Canis lupus familiaris: one gene and its partners. The main gene of each other region encodes a partner of the protein of the gene in region 3 in a complex. Links are inferred from orthologs where the notes say so. Each region holds a gene or a part of one and is shown on either strand. Other genes may lie near its edges. The genes, in order: DCP1A, ARHGEF6, MAP3K5 and PAK1.

Region 1 (4,288 bases), on a different chromosome or scaffold from region 3:
AGACATGGTGGCCTAAATGCAAAACCTAGCAAGAAGCATCTGTATTTTGGTGTCTACTTTGATTCAACTAAGGTCTGAAACAAAGGTTCTGGTAAAGTCACGGCAGCTATGGCAACATGCAATCTAAGCTAGCATGAGGTTCTGGATAGGAAGTCTGACCCAGGAGTAAGGCAACTGAACTGTGACTTTCGGGCCAGGGTCATCCGACTGTGACTAGTCAGGCTTGGCCCAACTTTTCAGGGACTCATTCTGGCCTGAACCTTCTGGTAATTGTGACGGTGAACTTCTGGCTTCTGAATTTTAAGTAAATCCTTTGAATATGTAAATTTGGGAGTTGAAACAGGTTGACCCTTTTCAAGTCTCCATGACTTGGGCACTTCAAAGTTTATTTTCCCACTAAGGAAAACTTATAGATTCTCTATCATGTTCATTCCTTGGATTAAAGGGTGAAAATTAACAGATTTGATTACAGACCCTCTTTAGGATATTCTCTCTTAACTCTCTTGTAATATTACACATACTCAAGTCATTTCAAGTCATACGTCTATTACAACAAGAATCCCTTGATTCTTCCATGTACCAAAGCCCATGGAAACCTCACTGGGGGTGTGATGAAACCTGTTTTCTGAGAACAGTCACATGGTTCCCCCCGACACCATCTCCTGGTGTCAGCAACACTCTGGATCTTACTTCAACATTTTCCTTCCTGGGTGATGTACAAGCAATTCATTTTTGGTTGCTGGATTCACACACTACCTTTGACAACGAACTCTTCCCCATTGAGTAAGAGAAATTACAAGCTTCCCTGACTTCTGTACAATTCACAAATAACTACGTAGACAGCAAGAAAAGACACTAAATTTGACAAGCAGAAAAGCTGCCCAGGAAGCATATTTAGAGTAACAAATGCCAATCAAACAAAGTATTCTTTATGCTAAAAAAACTAAGACCAAACTAAAACAAGTATGTAATTCACAAGTAATTTTCTAAAATCTCAGCTAGGAAAAAAAAAAAAATCTATCGATTTATGATTGAGTTACCATTAAAGCTTAAATGACTGTTCGCAAGGAACCACCACATCCATCAGCATTATTCACAGCTCACCCTTATGCTAGCTGGTTGAGCCAACTGGGTTTTTACCCCATCATTAAATAGTGCTCAGAAAAGTAAGCAGTGCATCTTAATTGGTTAAATACTACAAAATGATCTGCATCATAGAAACGAAGACACTTTCATTCAAAGAGTATCTTAAAATTACTATTGCTGAAATAAATCAAAGTCTACATTAAAATATTACTAATCACCATTACATGCCATAAAAGAATAAATATAAATCATGGCAGGTCAATAGCAGCATAACAAAGCATCTTTACATATTTTCACACTTTGGGCTGCAAAAGTACTCACAGCCTAGGAATACATTGGTAAAGTTCTGAATTTCACACTTTGTTTTTAACTCCATATTCTATAATAAAATAAGGGCAGTATGAATAACAGCTCCCTTTTCTGCATAGCTTTAAAACTACTCTCAGTAGACTCGAGGAATGGAACCAGAATGGCTTTGCTAGATTGGTCCACTGGTCCTTTTTGCCAAGTGTTAAGGAAAACAATCAACAATGACTTCTGTGTTTAGACAGAAAAGGAAAATAAGGCTACACTTCACACAAAACTTAACATTTTCGAAACCACTCAATAGTTTAACGTAAAGTGAAGGTTTCTGATCAAATTCAGTCTTTACCAGTCCCAGCCTTTGCTTCAAAGGTGTGACATGCTACTCCCATACCATCACAGAGCCGGAGGAGGCCCTAGTCACGTGGTATCACTGCCCTGGGAGCCCGCAGCATGGCAGCTCTGGGGACACTTAAAAAAACAAAACAAAACACAATTGAGAAATTTCAGAACTTTTAAGGCCCAAATGGGGCATTCATAAAAATATACTTCACTTGAACAAATCATTCCTAATTTGCCAACTTAAACTCTGATCCTTAAAACTCAAAGCTACTTTGCATAGAGCTGACTACTGCTCTGTTCAGAACTTGACTATCAGCCTAAGGCTCAAATTTCTAGGGGGGAGAAGCAGGGGAAGGGGTGCGGGCTGAACTCTGCTACAAGGCTGGTGACCCCTCCCCTCCCTATGACCTTGAGAGTGAAAGCAAGCTGAAAACCAGGCTCCTGATTTCACATCCCTTCTTACAGCTGATGAAAACACCCACACAACTTAATGTTTTTTTTTTTTTGTTTTTGTTTTGTTTTGTTTTTGTCAAAACAAAGGTCTGCTGGTGATGCTTCACAGTGAAACCTCCATTATCACTGAGAACGTCACTTGGAAAACATTCTTAAGGAATGAGTCTCTTTCTCATAGGCTCAATTTCAGGATTCTCAAAACTCAATGTTCTGTTTAGAAGTTCCCATGATGAGGCCTATTCGTTTCTGAGGTCGACATTCTGCCTTCGGATTTATTCTGCTCCAGTCATAAGTTGTGGTTGTCTTTGTTCTTGGTCAGAACCTGCAAGTAGACTTCGTGAAGTGTACTGAGGAAGCTGGAATCATTCTGGAAGAGATGGTAATGTTTCATTTACCTCAGAAGAACTTACTGTATAAATGATTTATAAAACTAACTACCCAAAGAATCCCATCACCCAGAGACAGCTGCAATCAATATTTTGGAATTCATTCAGATACTTTTCCATTGGGAGTATATGCTCAGAAAGAGAGAAACATCAGTCCCGCTAGTCTTCAATTCACCTTATGAACTGGTTTTCTAAAAAGAATTTATGTTTTTTAAAATTAAAGAACAGAAGTTTACAGATTCAACTGCTGGGATGGTCTGCATACCTTTATTAGATGTATTAATGTATCCTGGAGCTGGGACTTGCTGAGAATAATGGAAGGCTTTCTCTGATTTTCTGATGTTCCAACAGTCAGTGGAGAAGGGGCGCTTGCTTTTCTCTCGAGGTCTGTGGACCTTGTGACTGTCTGTTGGAAAACACTCGGGGACAGCAGGACTGAAGACACTGCCATGGTTGTTGCAGTAACCAGTGTGGGGCCTGTGACCTGCAGGGCAACAATGGTCATGAATGAAGCTTGTCGGCTAAAGGATGAAGGGTCTGTTTCTTGGGAAGCCAAGTCTGATCATCACACAAAAGAAGTATGATCACACAGGGTATGCACAGTAAGAACAATCCTATGATAAGAGGTGTCTGCATGGCTTAGTTGGTTAAGCGTCTGCCTTTGGCTCAGGTCATGATCCTTGAGGCCTTCGTTGGGCTCCCTGCTCAGTGGGGAGTCTCCTTCTCCCTCTGTCCCATCCCTGCTCATGCACACAAGCATGTTCTCTCTCAAATAAAAAATTAAATCTTAAAAAAAAAATCCTATGATAAATTAAAAATGCAAAGTTTTTTTTTTAAAGATTTTATTTATTTATTCATGAGAGACACAGAGAGAGAGAGAGAGAGAGAGGCAGAGACACAGGCAGAGGGAGCAGATCCCATGCAGGAAGCCTGATGTGGGACTCGATCCCGGGTCTCCAGGATTACGCCCTGGGCCGAAGGCAGGCGCCAAACCGCTGAGCCACCGAGGGATCCCCAAAACTGCAAAGTTTTATATGGGGAGCAGGGAAATGATTGGAAGAGGGCATGAGGGACTTTCTGGGGTGATAGAAATCTTACATATATTGATTGAATGGTTACCCCAAGGGATATTATGTTTGTTAAAACTCATAAAACAGAATCTGCATTTTATATGTATTTCACTGCAGTAAAATTTTACTTCAGATAAAAAAAGAAAAAGAAAAAGAAAAGGAGTGCCTGGATGTGTCAGTTGAATGTCTATTCTTGGTTTTGGCTCAGGTTGTAATCAGTTGAATGTCTATTCTTGGTTTTGGTTCAGGTTGTAATATTAGGGTTGTGAGATGGAGCCCTGAGTTGGGCTCCACACTTAGTGCAGAGTCTGCTTGAGATCCTCTCCCTCTCTTTCTGCCCCTCCCCACTCTGCTCTCTCTCAAATATATAAATAAGATCTTGAAAAAAAAAATCCAGTTGCATGAAGCATTAGTTTCTTTTGTAGTGTCCAATATACTTATCATTCTGCTACGGGTATCAGGATACAGCTTCTTACAAATAAAACATCTACCTCCTTCCTCCATTTAGAGGTGCTTCTATGCTAATAGCAGCTAACCATCAGAATATACTAAACCAGAAATAGTCAGCATTTTTAATAATTCCTCCATCAGGGACACCTGGGTGGCTCGGCGGTTTAGTGCCTGCCTTCAGCTCAGGGTGTGATCCTG
Region 2 (5,584 bases), on a different chromosome or scaffold from region 3:
TAATAATATGCATCAATTATATTTCAGTAAAAGAAATCAGCAAGGAAAAATTTTTGTTTTAAGACATAAGAGTTTATTCGTTCATTCATGCATTCCTCCAGCATTTTTAATTTTATTTATCTTTAAAGATTTTATTTATTTATTCATGAGAGACACACAGAGAGAGGGGCAGAGACACAGGCAGAGGGAGAAGCAGGCTCCATGCAGGGAGCCCGACGTGGGTCTCGATCCAGGGACTCCAGGATCACGCCCTGGGCCAAAGGCAGGCGTTAAACCGCTGAGCCACCCAGGGATCCCTCCTTCAGCATTTTTTAAAAAAGATTTTATTTATTTGAGAGAGAGCAGGAGCAGGGAGAGGGGAGAGGGAGAAGGGGGAGGGATGGAGGGAGAAAGAGAAGCAGACTCCTGACTGAGCAGGGAGCCTGACCCTAGGCTCTATCTCAGGACCCCAGGATCATGACCTGAGCCAAAGGCAGACAACCAATTGAGCTACTCAGATACCCCTCATTCAGCATTGTAGAATATCTACTATGTACCTGATCCTGCTGGGAACAGTGTTAAACAAAACAAACAAGACGTCTACTCTAGGGAGGTTACATTCTGGTGGAGGAGACATATCAACAAGTAAATAGTAACGTGATAAGTGTTAGGAACATGGCAAGAAGAGGAAGCTTTGAAAACATTTAGCAGGATTATCTAAGCTGATCATTTGGTAGTAGATGTCTAGAGCTGTGTTGAGAAGGATTCGGAAGCTTAGCAGGATCCCCTACTTGAGGAGGGGCAGTGACTGATGGGGAGGAGCATGCATTTGCCAGTTTAAGGCTATGCTGTTCTCATTGGTCTTCTTACAAGTTTCCCAATAGTATGACTATTTCAACTGGTTGTGAAAAGATCTCTTGTTTTAGACCAGGTTTGTTTTTTTTCAGAGCAGCATTTTTAAAAAAGGATTTTATTTATTTATTTGAGAAAGAGAGAGAGACAGCAAGAGAGAGTACAAGTGGGGGGTGGGTGGGGAGAGGGACGGAGAAGCAGACTCCCCACTGAGCAGGGAGCCCGACATGGGGCTCAATCCCAGGACCCTGGGATCATGACCCGAGCTGAAGGCAGATGCTTAACCAACTGAGCCACCCAGGCGCCCCTAGAGCACCATTTTTAACGCAAAGTGTTTCTTGTTGGGGAAGCATCAACTTTCCAGACTATAGTATAGACAGAGGACAAGTGCTCTTTTGTTCTCAAAAGTTCTGTTTTCAAGTGTTTTATACCCTCTCATAGGACTGTGTCAGAGCCTTTGCTAGGGGTACTGCAGCTGGATTGTGTAGTGGAACCAGGTCCAGAAAAAGAATTGCTAAAGAATGCAAGTAAACAGGATGTCAGATGTTATCCTTAGCCTATTTCCCTAAACATAGCTTTTTGGCTGCAAAGTAAAATGCCATTCTTCTAGCTTCTGCTTGTACACAGTGATGGCTGACAGCAGGCACCGTCTTCATTTGCTTGGCACGTTATCACCATGCAATTCAACGTGTTTTACAAGGGATGATCATGACACACCATCTCTGTGAGACAGTATGAGGACATCCGGCCATTTCTTGGAAGAATTTTCTCAGCCTACCTTCTTCATGAGCCTCAGATCTATGTGACCTAAGAGCCAGTTGGCATCTTCCTCCTGACAGCAGCCAGATTTTCACTGGGGCTAGACTATTTATTGACAGTGTTTCCCCAGACTGGCCCATGAGTGTCTCATTGCCAAAGTCCCCTGTGTTTTCCAAGAGCACTTGCTTCATTCTCTCTCCTCCCTCCCCAGCATCCTCCTCACTTCCTTCCCTTACAGCTTCTTGCACTGTTGGGTTTTTTTTTTGGGGGGGGGGGCTGTGTTTATGTGTGTTTCTTCTTCTTTTTTTTTTAACCCTGGTAAGTTAGCTTTGCAGGCTTGGAAAACAAAATCCAGCATTATCCAAAGATTTTTATTCTTTCTATTTCTACATCTTTTAAGTGTGATCTCTGTGGCTTTAAGATCCTGTAATTGGAGTGGGGTCGCGTTATCTAAGAAAGTCGTTGAAACGCTTTGCTCTGCAAGCCCCAGAAGAGAACTTATAAAAACGGAAGGCAGTAGCAGATGCAATTACGGATGTGGCTTAGTCCTTGCAGCTGCCCTGGGGAGCTGTGCAGAGCATACAGTCCTCAGCGATGAATCCAGAAGAGCGAATCGTGACATGGCTTATATCCTTGGGAGTTTTAGATTCCCCCAAAAAGACCATCTGTGATCCAGAGGAGTTCTTGAAGTCCTCGCTGAAAAATGGGGTAGTGCTGTGCAAACTGATCAACAGACTTAGGCCTGGCTCTCTAGAAAAGGTAAGGGAAATGGGCATTCTCTTTAGGATTGCTTACCACCAGAGAGCAGCAATAATGTAACCCTTGAGATGTTCTGTTGCCTGGATCATGGGACTCTGCCACTTGAATCTCTTCCTAGGAGTTTGGCATTCTGTCTTGTTTTTGTAGCTTGAAAAGCTCAGAAAATGAAAGGTTATCCGTTAGCACTTGGCCCCCAAATATAGTAAAATCATGATACAATGTTGGTGCCAGGGGACAAGGAGAAAATACTCGTATCATTTGCTCTGTCATAGAGATATGTGTTATTACTCTCTGTGTACCAAGGGCATATTTTGAACTTGGGGTATATATGAATTGGTGTAATAACGGGATGATTTATAATAGATATTGATGGTGTTTATTGACAGTTTGACTAAAATCAATGTTGATTTGCTTCTCAAAGAAATAAAATATCCTTTGAAACAGAGGCAACCAGAAGAAATAATCCAAAATGTCAGAAAAGGTTTGTTAAAACAATAGAAACCAGATATATGTTTTGTATGCAACATGTGTTCAAAGTGAAACTAACCTTACTCTCTTTTAAAAAGCCAAAAGTTTTAATGTTGGAAATCCATATTCACAAGGATAGATAATTTCTAAAGTAGGCACTTTAAGTTTAAAGGTTGAATCCTACAGCTTTCTTAAGGTTAGCAGGGGACGTGACTATGAGCATAACGTGAGTGCTTTTGCCTTCTTGTACTGGTTGGTATTTTTATTGAGCAAATTGGTTTACTTATAATTTCTCTGAAACTTGAAAAACAGTGCTGAAGTGGTAGTGCAACATGCAGAACTGTAACCAAATGTAACAAACAGTAAATGGGAGGATAGAGTGTTAATAAATTATCATGGGGAGGAGGGAGCAAGAAAATAACTTAAAAGCAAGAACCAAGGTCAAAACACAGCCTGGATCTAATTTGCTGTCTCCGCACTTTGGCTGAAGGCTAAAAAATAGTTTGTCAGTAGAGATAGGTGGTTTGGGACTGGAAGTTTGGTGACATTTGAAACAGACCGACCGTTTAGACTTTTACATCACTTCCTCCAGTGGTTATTTCTCTTCCTGGATTGACAGCAATGTGGCCCCTGCCTTAAAAAGCTTACCTATCTAGTTATCAGAAAATGAGGACTATGGTGTATGCTTGGCATGCGATAACAGGGTTCAAGTGACATTTGGCTATGTTTTTCTAGTACTGTTTGGAGCCCCAAACCGAAGCTGACTGCCTCAACAACATCAGTGACTTCCTGAAAGGATGTGCAGCCCTTCAAGTGGAGGTAAGCCCACCCGGGATGCCTTGCCTTGCTAGTGAAAATGGTGTTGTACTAAAAGTACTGGGTTGTTTCTGACTGTTACACAGGGGTAGCATTTTATGGAGATCATGGTTAAGATTGGTGGTCTCCAGTGGTGGCTGGTTAGTTTGTCTTTTCCAGAAACCAGTTCCAAAACAAAATGAAACAAAACAAAATCAAAACTCAGAATATGCTATTTTTTAATACAGCATCCGTGCCCTGAAAGCAGGCTTCCAGTGACAAAGGCTGTGTAATGTGCCTCCCTCCTGGGAGGAACCAAAAGCAGGCCATTGGCCGCTCTAGGGGGTCATAGTAATCCCCCCCCTCCGAGTTGGGAAGAGATGAAAGTATACTGTCACTTTTTTCCTATTAACACTTTAGAACAGAGGCCATGAAAAGCCAAGAGAGCCTGGCCCTGTGGTAGAAATTGTATATTAACTTACATTGCACTATTTTATATCATATAGATCCTTACAGTATATTTGGGGGTATTGCTGCAAAGGAGGTGATACTTTTGTCTGAGTGTCCAATTATGTAACTTCTTTGTTCCTCAGTGTGTGTGTGTGTGTGTGTGTGTGTGTGTGTGTGTATTACATCTTTATTTGCAGAAGCAAAATCATGGAAACAACATCCATAACTAGCAATGGGAGAATAGTCAAATAAATTATAGTACATTCAAATGATGCTGAAGTCTTATACATTCATTTAAAAAAGATTGTAGGTTTTTAAAATGGAAGTATAGTTATATTGATATTAATATTAGTTGATATTAATATTAACTAATATTATATTAGTTTTAGATGTACAATGTGTGATTCAACATTCTATACATTACACAGTGCCCACCATAGTAAGTGTAGCTACCATTTGTCACCATACAATGTTACTTCAATATTATTCTTTAAAGATTTATTTATTTATTTATTTATTTATTTATTTATTTATTTATTTATAGAATGCGTGGGGGAGGGGCAGGGGAGAGAGAGAATCCTGAAGCAGACTCTCCTCCAAATGTGGAGCCCACTGCGGGGCTTTGTGTGGGTGGGGTTGGACACGAGGCTTGATGCCAGGACTTGGAGATCATGACCTGAGCCAAAATCAAGGGTCGGCCACCTAACCAACTGAGCCACCCAGGCGACCCTACAATATTATTGACTGTATTCCCTCTGTTTTATTTGTCATCCCCATGACTTACTTATTGTAACATTGGAGGTTTGTGCCTATTAGTCGCCTTCATCTATTTCATCCATCCTCTCAGTCCCCTTCTTTCTGGCAACCACCAGTGTGTTCTGTTTCTATGAGTCTGTTTCTATTTCATTTTGTTTTGTTTTTTAGATTCCACACATGAGTGAAATGGTATGGTAATGGCCTTTCTTTGTCTGACTTACTTCACTTAGCATAATACCCCATCCATGTTGTCCCAAATGGCAAGATTTCATTCATTTTTTTTATATGATTGAGTGCATGTATACCATATTTGTGTCTGTTCATCTCTGAATGGATGCTTGGGTGGCTTCCATATCTTAGCTATTGCAAATAATGCTTTAATAACCATACAGATGCATATTTTTTAAGGATTTTATTTATTTATTCATGAGACATACACACATACACACAGAGAGGAGAGAGAGAGAGAGAGAGAGAGAGAGAGAGAGAAGCAGAGACACAGGCAGAGGGAGAAGCAGGCTCCATGCAGGGAGCCTGATGCGGGACTCGATCCCGGGACTCTAGGATCATGCCCCCGGCCGAAGGCAGGCTCTAAACCACTGGGCCACCCATGCGGCCCTACATATTTTTTTAATTCATGTTTTTGTTTTCTTTGGCTATTTGCCTCAGTGTTTTGATCTGTAAAATGGACACAACAATTGCTACCTCATGGGGTTGTTTTAAGGTCACATGAGATACTATATAATAATTTAGAGGAAGGAGCTTC
Region 3 (4,064 bases):
ATATTTACCATCTGGCCCTTCCCAGAAAACTGTTTCCCTGGTGGAGGAGGAGCAAGCGCTCCCTCTGAAATCAGAAGAAAAGTTCTACTACCATCCAAGTTGGCAGCCGTCAGTTGAGAAAAACAAAGGATTTGGACAAAACATACCATCTTCATTTGGTCACATCTTCAGACTCAATGACAGGGCTCAGAGTTCATTACCATGAGCATAAGTAGGGGTTAAACTGGGGCCTGCTCAGGTTGAATGAAGCAATGGATGGGAGAGAGATGGCTCAGAATGGCTCAGAAACGAGTCTTCCCAAAGTGTCCTCCCCATGATTCACGCTGCACCTCAATGGCTCACCAGGTCCCCGCCAGCTCTCTATCACATGATTCCAAGATAGAGTAAATCAGCCCAGCTAAATGGAGGCAGCAGCAAAGATGACCTTTTAGAGTCAGCCACCTGAAATGGAACCCTGCATTGATCAGTTACTACCTGTAAGTCTAGGCCAGTTATAAAGTCCTTGGTTTCCTCATCTGAGAAGAATAAGAAGTACTTCCTTAATGGGCTTGTTTGGGGGATTAAAGATACAGTTCAAATGTCGGTCCCCTTGTAGTCTTCCTTTGTCTCTTTCCCACAAACAGTTATTTGGAGAACAAACAGTAACTGTGCCATGTTAGGAAACTATCTTCCAAATTAGCCTAGAGTTTAAGATTTTTTATTTTTTTAGAGTCCTATAAAAAATACAGAATCTATCAGAGCAATAAAAATAGGCTCAGTATTTGCTTGGGTGTTTTCCTCACATATCTTTCAGTTCTTTGAAGTTTCTTCCAAACTATAATCCAAAAATAAGAGTGCTATAATTTTTAGAAAAGTTACATTTATGCAATTTTTATAGCAAGCCACACAAAAAACTGAGCTATAATATATCATACTCAGGTTCAGTTCTGAAGACCAAGACTGTAAAAAAAATACCAGCACCAGAAAGCCCTGGTTTATTTAGTCTGACTTCTTTAACATGAAGTTCTTCTGGTTCTTAAAAATATTCAGTTTTGGCTGAATTCCAAAGCTGACATAAGCCTACTTCAGGTGTTTTGAAGAGACTGAAGAGAATCAGAACTGAAAGCAAGTTTGGAATATAAAACCTTTTACGTGATCACAAATGCAAGAATCTTATTGTTTGAAACCACTGTTAAATTTTCCGCCCACACTTAGAAAAAATAAATACATGTATGTTCTCATATTTGGTTGTACAGGGTACTAAAGGTTAACTTCAATAGCATGTTAATATTATTCCCAACTTTAGCAAGCAAATAGCTAATTGCATCAATCACTAGAACTGCAATGACAGTTTCTGAAATATGTGATACTTGAAAAGATAACTTTTTTATGGATTACATTGGCACTCTATTTTTTTAATTTTACATTTTATTTATTCTTTTAAGATTTTATTTATTTATTCAGAGACACAGAGACAGGGAGAGGCAGAGACACAGGCAGAGGGAGAAGCAGGTTCCACGCAGAGAGCCTGACGTGGGACTCGATCCAGGGTCTCCAGGATCACGCCCCGGGCTGCAGGCGGCGCTAAACCGCTGCGCCACCGGGGCTGGTGGCACTCCCTTTAAACAAACTAATTTTTAGTTATTAAAATAGTAAATATTTTAAACAATGTTAAATTATGTACTTTCCAGCTCATTGTGGTATATGGGGTAATAATATTCTCCCACCAAAATCCTAACAAAGACACCACGAAAGTTTAGTTCAAGTGACAAGGTTACTGCTTTTGGAAGTAATTCCTTAGAAGTTCAAATCGGTTAAGACTAGAACATCCAAGCTACTAAATATGTTCGAGTGAAAGGACTTGGGAAGATCACGACACGACATGCAAATGCGTATAGATAGACTCTGAGAGCAGCGGGCTGCGTGGTTCCTGTTCTCCCAACACCACACAGAGAAAAAATGAAAGCGTCATCTAAAATAGTCACAGGTGTATATATAGAAGGGAGAAATGGGCCAAACCTAGCAAAAGAGAAACCAAGACCCCAAATGGACAAAGGCTGATGGGGCCACTATCTCGCACTACTTTAGAAGTGAAAAGTTCTTGAGGAGGGGCCTCCGGACCGGCTCCAGCGCGGGCCGGCGGGTGACCCAGTCGGTCTAGCACAAGTACACAGGATCTTGCACCCGCACCCACTCTTCCCCGGGGGCAGCGAGCGCCCGGAGCAGTCACGCAGCGCCGCTCGCTGCCCCTAAGGTGGGGCAAGAAGTGGGTAAGGAGGAAGCACGCCTGCCGCCTAGGAAAACCTTGCCCCGCTGCGGGCGGCCAGGGAGAACGTGGCCCCTGACCGTGGAGGACGCGGAAGGGGCTGCACACGCACCTGCGTTGTAAAAGCGGTCCAGCACCGTGGTTTCCCCGAAGTCCAGTTTGCCAAAATGCAGGGTCTCCAGGGTGGCGCCCACCGTCTCGCACGCCTCCCGCAGGCTCTGCAGGGCCTCGCTCTCGGCCACCACCAGCTGCCCCTGGCTCGCTTCGTTGATCACATAAGCCACCGTGGTCCGTCGGCCGCCTCCGCCACCAGAGCTGCCCCGGCACCGGGTGGCGCTGCTCGCAGAGGTGGCAGCCGGACAGCCGGCGCCCGGGGCGGCGGCACTCTCCACGTTCCAGAAGCTGCCCGGCGGCGGCGGTGGTAGTTGGCTCTCCGGGCCCTCGGCCGGCGCCGCCGCTCCTCCCCTCCGGCAGCTGCCGCCCTCGGCGAAGGGTGGCACGGAGAAAGTGATGCCCTCGCCCGCCTCGGCGCTCATCTCTCCCGGCCGGGCTGCGGCGGCGGCGGCGGCGGCGTCCCCCCCCAGCCCAGCCGCACCGTCTGGCCAGCCACAGCTCCGGGCTGCTCCGCGCGCGCCGGGCTAAGCAGCTGCCATCGCGCGTCGCGCCCTCCGCACCGCGCCGCCGCCTCCTCTCCGGCGCCCTCTCTCCCGGGGGCACGCCGCTACCCGGCGGCGGCTCGCCCCTCCTCGGCGCCTCCGTGGCCGCGCCGCTCGCCCGAGGCAGGGTGTAGAGTACGAGCGGTGGGGACGCCAGGGTGAGCGGGAAGGGACCGCGCTTCCTTCTGCTGCCGGCAGACAAGTCGGCTCGCGAGCCCGCGCCGCCGTGCAGCTCAAGGGCGCCGCGCTCGCCGTGCGGAGCGCCCTGGCCCCCCGGAGCGCGGCTCCCGCTCCTTGCGTGCCGGGCGCTGGGAGGGGCCGGGGAGGGCGCCCGCTGGGTGGGGAGCTACCTGGCCAGCACCTCTCGGGCGAGCAGGCTCCCCGGGCTGCGTCCCGGAACAGCAGCCGCCGCAGCCGAAAGGACCCGCCTCCCTCCTCGGCGGCAGCTCCCCTTCATGGGCTCTAGTTCCTCCTCCTCCCCTGGCCTCGTTTCTCGCCCGAGCGCGCCGCGGCCGCTGCGTCCCAGCGCCAGCCTCGCCGCTGGGTCTCGCCGCTCCCCGCAGCCGCTCGCCCAGGGGGCCACCGGCTTCTGCCGCCCACTCGTCGCGGCCCCGAGAGTCAGGGCCCGCCCCGGGGGAGGGCGCTGCTGGGAAGCTGGAGCCGGGACGAAACCGGCCGCGCCGCGGCTCCCGGACCTCGGCCAGGCCCCGGGCTCGGCGCGGGGCGGGAGTGCTCCGCCGTCACCCACCGGACCCCCACCTAAGAAGACCCGGAGTCGGCCAAAGCCTGGAGCGCGCGCGAAGGCAGCACGGCGCACGAAAAAGAAAAAAAAGAAAAAAAAAGTCTCTCCGGAGAACACTCGGGGCTCCGGAGCTATCGGGAGGCTCTCGCCCCGGTCCCCGCAGCCAGGGCGCCCCCGTCCGGCGCCTGGCGGCCTCGCCCTGCGCGCGGTCTGGTTCGGCGCGCGGCGCTCCAGCGCTGGGCTGCGCCGAGGGGCCTGCGTTGCGCAAGGCCGGAGGATTTCCTCTAGCGCCCCGCCGCGGGGGCCTATATTGGACGGCAACGGGCGATCGATTCCCGACCGTGGCTGGCACAACTTATCAGGTCGGCCTCCGCTACTTTCCATTAAAAAAAAAATTGCACTGGCAATGTTATCGTTAATG
Region 4 (4,976 bases), on a different chromosome or scaffold from region 3:
TTACTTAGCCTGTTTCCACAGACAGGAAGATATATAGAATTAATGTTAGTGTAGGACTAACATAAGTTATTCTAGTCTCCTGGGAAGCAACAAATTAGCCTGCTGCAGATCTTTTCTTCTCTGTTAAATTGTAGCATTCTACCTCTTAGAACACCATTGATGAAACTGAAAGACCCATAGGAATTTATAAATACATTAGTGCTATTAATATGCTGGACATCAGGAGTGCATTTTGTTGTTGAATATTGGCAGCGATTTTTATTTAACTTCTTTTGAGGTTCTTGCATCTCAGCATAGCCACAGTCCCTCTGCCCTCACTTTGCACAATCTGGTCCCCATGCTTTTTATTTGATTTAGCATCACTGAGCACTGACCTGTCATCAGATGATACTCTTTTAGTGTTTCTTTGTTTGGACTTTGTTTATGACAAGAGCTTTATAATGAAAGAATGATCTAGGGCTTAAACTCTGTGATAATACAAAAAAAAAAAAAAAAAGGCTGGCTGAAAGGTATTCAAGCAGAAGTTGGTTGCCTGACTATAGGAGAGTGTGTGAGGAAAATCCAGGGGGTTTAGATGACCTTTTAGGATTAGACCTTACAAACAGGATCTGTGGAATCACCCTTTCTATAGGTCACAAAGTCACCCTAATGAAAATAAGATTCAAAATTGGAGATTTGTCAAGGTAGTTCACATTGATATGGCCTTTTTTTCAGTTTGCAAGCATGTTCATTTAAAAAAAAAAATTCGGGGATCCCTGGGTGGCGCAGCGGTTTGGCGCCTGCCTTTGGCCCAGGGCGCGATCCTGGAGACCCGGGATCGAATCCCACGTCAGGCTCTTGGTGCGTGGAGCCTGCTTCTCCCTCTGCCTGTGTGTCTGCCTCTCTCTCTCTCTGTGACTATCATAAATAAATAAAAATGTTTAAAAAAAAAAAAATTCTCACTAAACTAGGAACTTCTCAAAAACAGAGGAAATATATATGTATTAATAATGCTTAACATAGTTCTGGGCAGGTGTCAGAAAGGCAGTAAATAATGAACAAATGAATTAATAAATTTGATCTTCATAGCACTCCTTTCTAAAAAGACATTGTTAATTCCTAATTTGTGTTGTGTATAGTGAGAACAAGGAAGGCCATTTCACCCACATGGGATAGGCCTGGGCACAGAGGGGAGGAACATAGATTTTGACCTAGGAGGAGAGATGAGTTTATTGGGATTTGCTCTGCTGTGGGTGTTCTAATACACCTCTATAAGAGGCTCCTGAGTGTTTTCTGTGCTAACAAAGACTGTCTTTACCAAATTCTTTTACCAACAATACAGGTATATACACGGTCTGTGATTGAACCACTTCCTGTTACTCCAACTCGGGATGCGGCTACATCTCCTATTTCACCTACTGAGAATAATACTACTCCACCAGATGCTCTGACTCGGAATACTGAGAAGCAGAAGAAGAAGCCCAAAATGTCTGATGAGGAGATCTTGGAGAAATTACGTAAGCACTTTGTAGCTGTCTGAACTTGCGTTTTGTGTGTGACTGAATGAGCACAAAGATGGAAAAACATTGCTAAAAGGATCCTAGTCCTAGACTTGGTCTATGTGGCTGGCTGGCTATGCTCGATATCTTAGCCACATAAGGTAGGCTTCTCACCTTGCCCCTGCACCTACCTCCTCTGTCTCAGCAACCCTGATTGGATATTGTGTTAGGATAGAAATGTGAGGGGAGTGTGGACAGCTCACTTCGAGCTAGGCATCTCTCAACCGTAGGCATCGGTTATGGAGATGAAAAGTAGCTTTTATCTAATGGAATAGTGTGGAATGTTGTGTTGAGAAAGACTGAGGCCTTACCCATACCTGGTAGGAAAGATTGCTGTGATTATTGATGCTTGCCATTGACTTAGGAGAAGACTGCTCTGCCATCTTGGTTGTAGGAAAAGAGGGAAGGAAAACTAACATTTTGTGAGCCTATCTAGGTACCAAATGACAAGCAAGGTGTTTTCTTGATTTTTTTTTTTTTTTGGTTCCTTTATTCCTCATATTAACCCTGTGAAGACAGACATTATAATCCTCATTTTTTGCAGTTTAATGTATTTGAGGCTCAGGGATGCTAAATACCCTACCCAAGACAGTGACAGGGCTGGGGTCAGAGACCAAGTTATGCTGTTGTAATTAGAGCATGCTGCCTCTTGCTTTCAAGTGGAAACTTCCATTTTATTTTCTTTAGTGGCCAGAAATGGGGTATGTATATTAGAGTAGGTTGTTTCTGTGTTTCAGTAAATTGCAAGAGAATTCATACTAGAAGGAAGGACTAGATTGACCTTTGGGCTTAGAAAAATCATCTGATGCAGCCTTTAATTTATCCTTTGTACCTGTTTACTTCTAAAGAGGATTTGATGTGACTAATTTGGCCAAATCCACAAACTAGCGCTCCTCTCTAAAGCCTAGGTTTCTGATTCTTTAGCTTAGCAGCTCTCAATGTCTTCCTGATAATTCTTGTTTGACTTTTATTTTTTTTTAAAGATTTTATTTATTTATTCATGAGAGAGAGAGAGAGAGAGAAAGGCAGAGACACAGGCAGAGGAAGAAGCAGGCTCCATGCCCAGAGCCCAATGTGGGACTCGATCCCGAGTCTCCAGGATCACACCCCAGGCTGAAGGTGGCGCTAAACCGCTAAGCCACTGGGGCTGCCCGACTTTTTTTTTTAATTTCACTCTTTTACAAGTTGCCCTTGCCCAGAGCCCTTACGAAATGATGAAGCAAGAAAAGCCACTTACCTAGCCATCTGTTTATTCCTATATATAGTGTTTTTATCTGAACCAGATTTATTTTAAAGCAGTCATACTTAGAACATAAAATTGTGAAAAGCAGACTGGCATGAGAGGTAAGGGCACTTGGGTTAAAGCCCCAGTCCAGCCACTGACATGGGTCTTGGGCAATTTCCTACTGTTCTCTGGGCTTCCTTTTTTTCATCTTTTAAAGAGGGATGTTAATACCTTTCTTATTTATAATCATATGAGATAGTATATGTGAAAAGTATCAAATCTTAGTAATTAGTGTTAGGGAGGACACACTGGACTGGGAGACCAAAAACCAAGCTCCTAATCTTATAAGGCCCTGACACCAGTTTGCTGTGTGACCTTTGGGGTGGGGGGGATTATGTTCCCTTCTGTGGGCCTCAGTTTCACCATCTCTAGAGTACAAGTTGTGAAACCTAACCTCTCTCACACCTCTATGCCTTTGCACTTGAATTACTGCCTACTGTAACCCCTTCTCAACTTTCCTTGGCTAACTCCTACTTACCCTATAAAAATCGTCCAGAATCACTTCCTTTCTGAAGCCTCTCTAGTCGGGAAAGGCTCTTTCTGTATTACAACAATTGTATTTTCATGGAACTTTAAGCTTAATTTTCTGTCTCCTCCCTGAGATTGAGCTTCTTGAGAGCAGGGACTGTTTTAACTATGTCTCATCTATCCCTTTATTCTTAGTATTCAACATTGGGCTTGGTACATGATATGTGAGCATATTAAGTGAGTGTTTATTGAATGAATGAATTTAAAAATACAGTCAATAAAAGCAGTAAGGAGATGAAACTTTTGGTTGCAACTTAAAACTAAAAGCTAAGGACCTGCTTAGCGTGGCTTTGGGAATTGGAGGTAGTTCTTTAATCCTTGTCAGCTGCAGGGTTTGGGGGAATATTGGGCCTGTTTTGTATCTTGATCTGGGAAAAAAAAATGATTCATGGTCTCTGTTTCTTTCAAAGGGAGCATAGTGAGTGTGGGCGATCCTAAGAAGAAATATACACGGTTTGAGAAGATTGGACAAGGGTTAGTAGGGGCATTTTCTTTCCCTAGGGAAATTACTTAAAAATTGGGTATGCTGGTGTATATGATTTTGCTTTTGTTTTGCCTCTCATAAACTTCGTTCTTTCTCTACCTCATCTCTCACCCATCTGGAGGTGTTATGTTAGGCTGACTTCAGGTTTGGCAAAATTATGCTTAGTATGAGAGACGTGCCATTAGCTGACCATGTTGCTAAAAATAACCCTTCAGTGAGAGTGCAAAAAGCATTTATCTTCTTAGCACAAAACCTGCTTCCCAAATTACAGCTCTGCTTTTTCAGATTAACCCTTTTTACCTGGCACTGAGACCTACCAGCACTAATGTGAAATGGAAGACTCAGAACTGCAGACCCCTTCTGCTAATGTAATGGGACCTGTCATTCTAGGTGCATGCCAGGATTCATGTCTCCTGCTCTCTGATTTCTTCTCTGTATCTTGCATGCTGCCCTCAGTGTACTGAACTCACCAGATCTTAACTGAGTTCCTGTTTATGTGCTAGGCACTATGAATACAGCTATGGATCTGACACAAACTCTGTCTTAAAGATCTCATGTCTATGGAAAGAGACAAAAAATTATACTATGAGAAGTCTTAAAATTGGCCATTATTTTGAGCAAAAGAAGCCAGATCTAAAAGAACAGAAACTGTATGATTTTGTTTATATGAAGTTCAAAAACAGGCAAAACTAATTTATGTTAATAGTTAATAGTTAATGGTTGTGTCTGAGAAGGGCATGTGAATTGGGAAGGGGCATGAAAAACCTTTGGGGATGATCTTAGTGGTGAACACATGGGTGTGTACATATTGAAAAATCATCAAGTTGTACACTGAAGGGTTGTGCAGATTACTTTAGTTAAGTTATACCTCTGTAAAAGAAAAAAAGCAAAATAATGAGATTTTTACAAATCTACCCAAATAGCTAAAATTAAAAAGAAACAGAAAGAAAAAGCACCTGACTTGTAGAAAGCTATCAGTGTTAATTGAATGAAAGCATTGTTTTTAATAAAGTCTTTGAAATTTTCTGTTTCAATTTTCTTTCTTACACATCCAAGCACTTCTGAAAATAAAAGTATTGCGTTATATAATCATATATTTGTACAGCATTCTACAGCTTAAATCTGTTATTCACATCTGTTG

What was found.
Region 1: MAP3K5 (region 3) and DCP1A share a complex: the UniProt entries of both Homo sapiens proteins name them as parts of the cytoplasmic complex. The link is inferred for Canis lupus familiaris from reciprocal best matches to the Homo sapiens genes MAP3K5 and DCP1A.
Region 2: MAP3K5 (region 3) and ARHGEF6 share a complex: the UniProt entries of both Homo sapiens proteins name them as parts of the cytoplasmic complex. The link is inferred for Canis lupus familiaris from reciprocal best matches to the Homo sapiens genes MAP3K5 and ARHGEF6.
Region 4: MAP3K5 (region 3) and PAK1 share a complex: the UniProt entries of both Homo sapiens proteins name them as parts of the cytoplasmic complex. The link is inferred for Canis lupus familiaris from reciprocal best matches to the Homo sapiens genes MAP3K5 and PAK1.

What each region holds. Positions count from the first base shown.
Region 1 is NC_049241.1:36,946,999-36,951,286, reverse strand, and holds part of DCP1A (mRNA-decapping enzyme 1A), read right to left. Parts: intron 3,055-4,288; coding exon 2,836-3,054; intron 2,552-2,835; coding exon 2,471-2,551; 3' UTR 1-2,470. UniProt on the Homo sapiens protein: Necessary for the degradation of mRNAs, both in normal mRNA turnover and in nonsense-mediated mRNA decay. Removes the 7-methyl guanine cap structure from mRNA molecules, yielding a 5'-phosphorylated mRNA fragment and 7m-GDP.
Region 2 is NC_049260.1:108,083,464-108,089,047, reverse strand, and holds the start of ARHGEF6 (rho guanine nucleotide exchange factor 6), read left to right. Parts: upstream 1-1,902; 5' UTR 1,903-2,184; coding exon 2,185-2,349; intron 2,350-3,552; coding exon 3,553-3,636; intron 3,637-5,584. UniProt on the Homo sapiens protein: Acts as a RAC1 guanine nucleotide exchange factor (GEF).
Region 3 is NC_049222.1:29,533,573-29,537,636, forward strand, and holds the start of MAP3K5 (mitogen-activated protein kinase kinase kinase 5), read right to left. Parts: upstream 2,801-4,064; 5' UTR 2,782-2,800; coding exon 2,358-2,781; intron 1-2,357. UniProt on the Homo sapiens protein: Serine/threonine kinase which acts as an essential component of the MAP kinase signal transduction pathway. Plays an important role in the cascades of cellular responses evoked by changes in the environment.
Region 4 is NC_049242.1:21,494,823-21,499,798, forward strand, and holds part of PAK1 (serine/threonine-protein kinase PAK 1), read left to right. Parts: intron 1-1,321; coding exon 1,322-1,496; intron 1,497-3,761; coding exon 3,762-3,825; intron 3,826-4,976. UniProt on the Homo sapiens protein: Protein kinase involved in intracellular signaling pathways downstream of integrins and receptor-type kinases that plays an important role in cytoskeleton dynamics, in cell adhesion, migration, proliferation, apoptosis, mitosis, and in vesicle-mediated transport processes.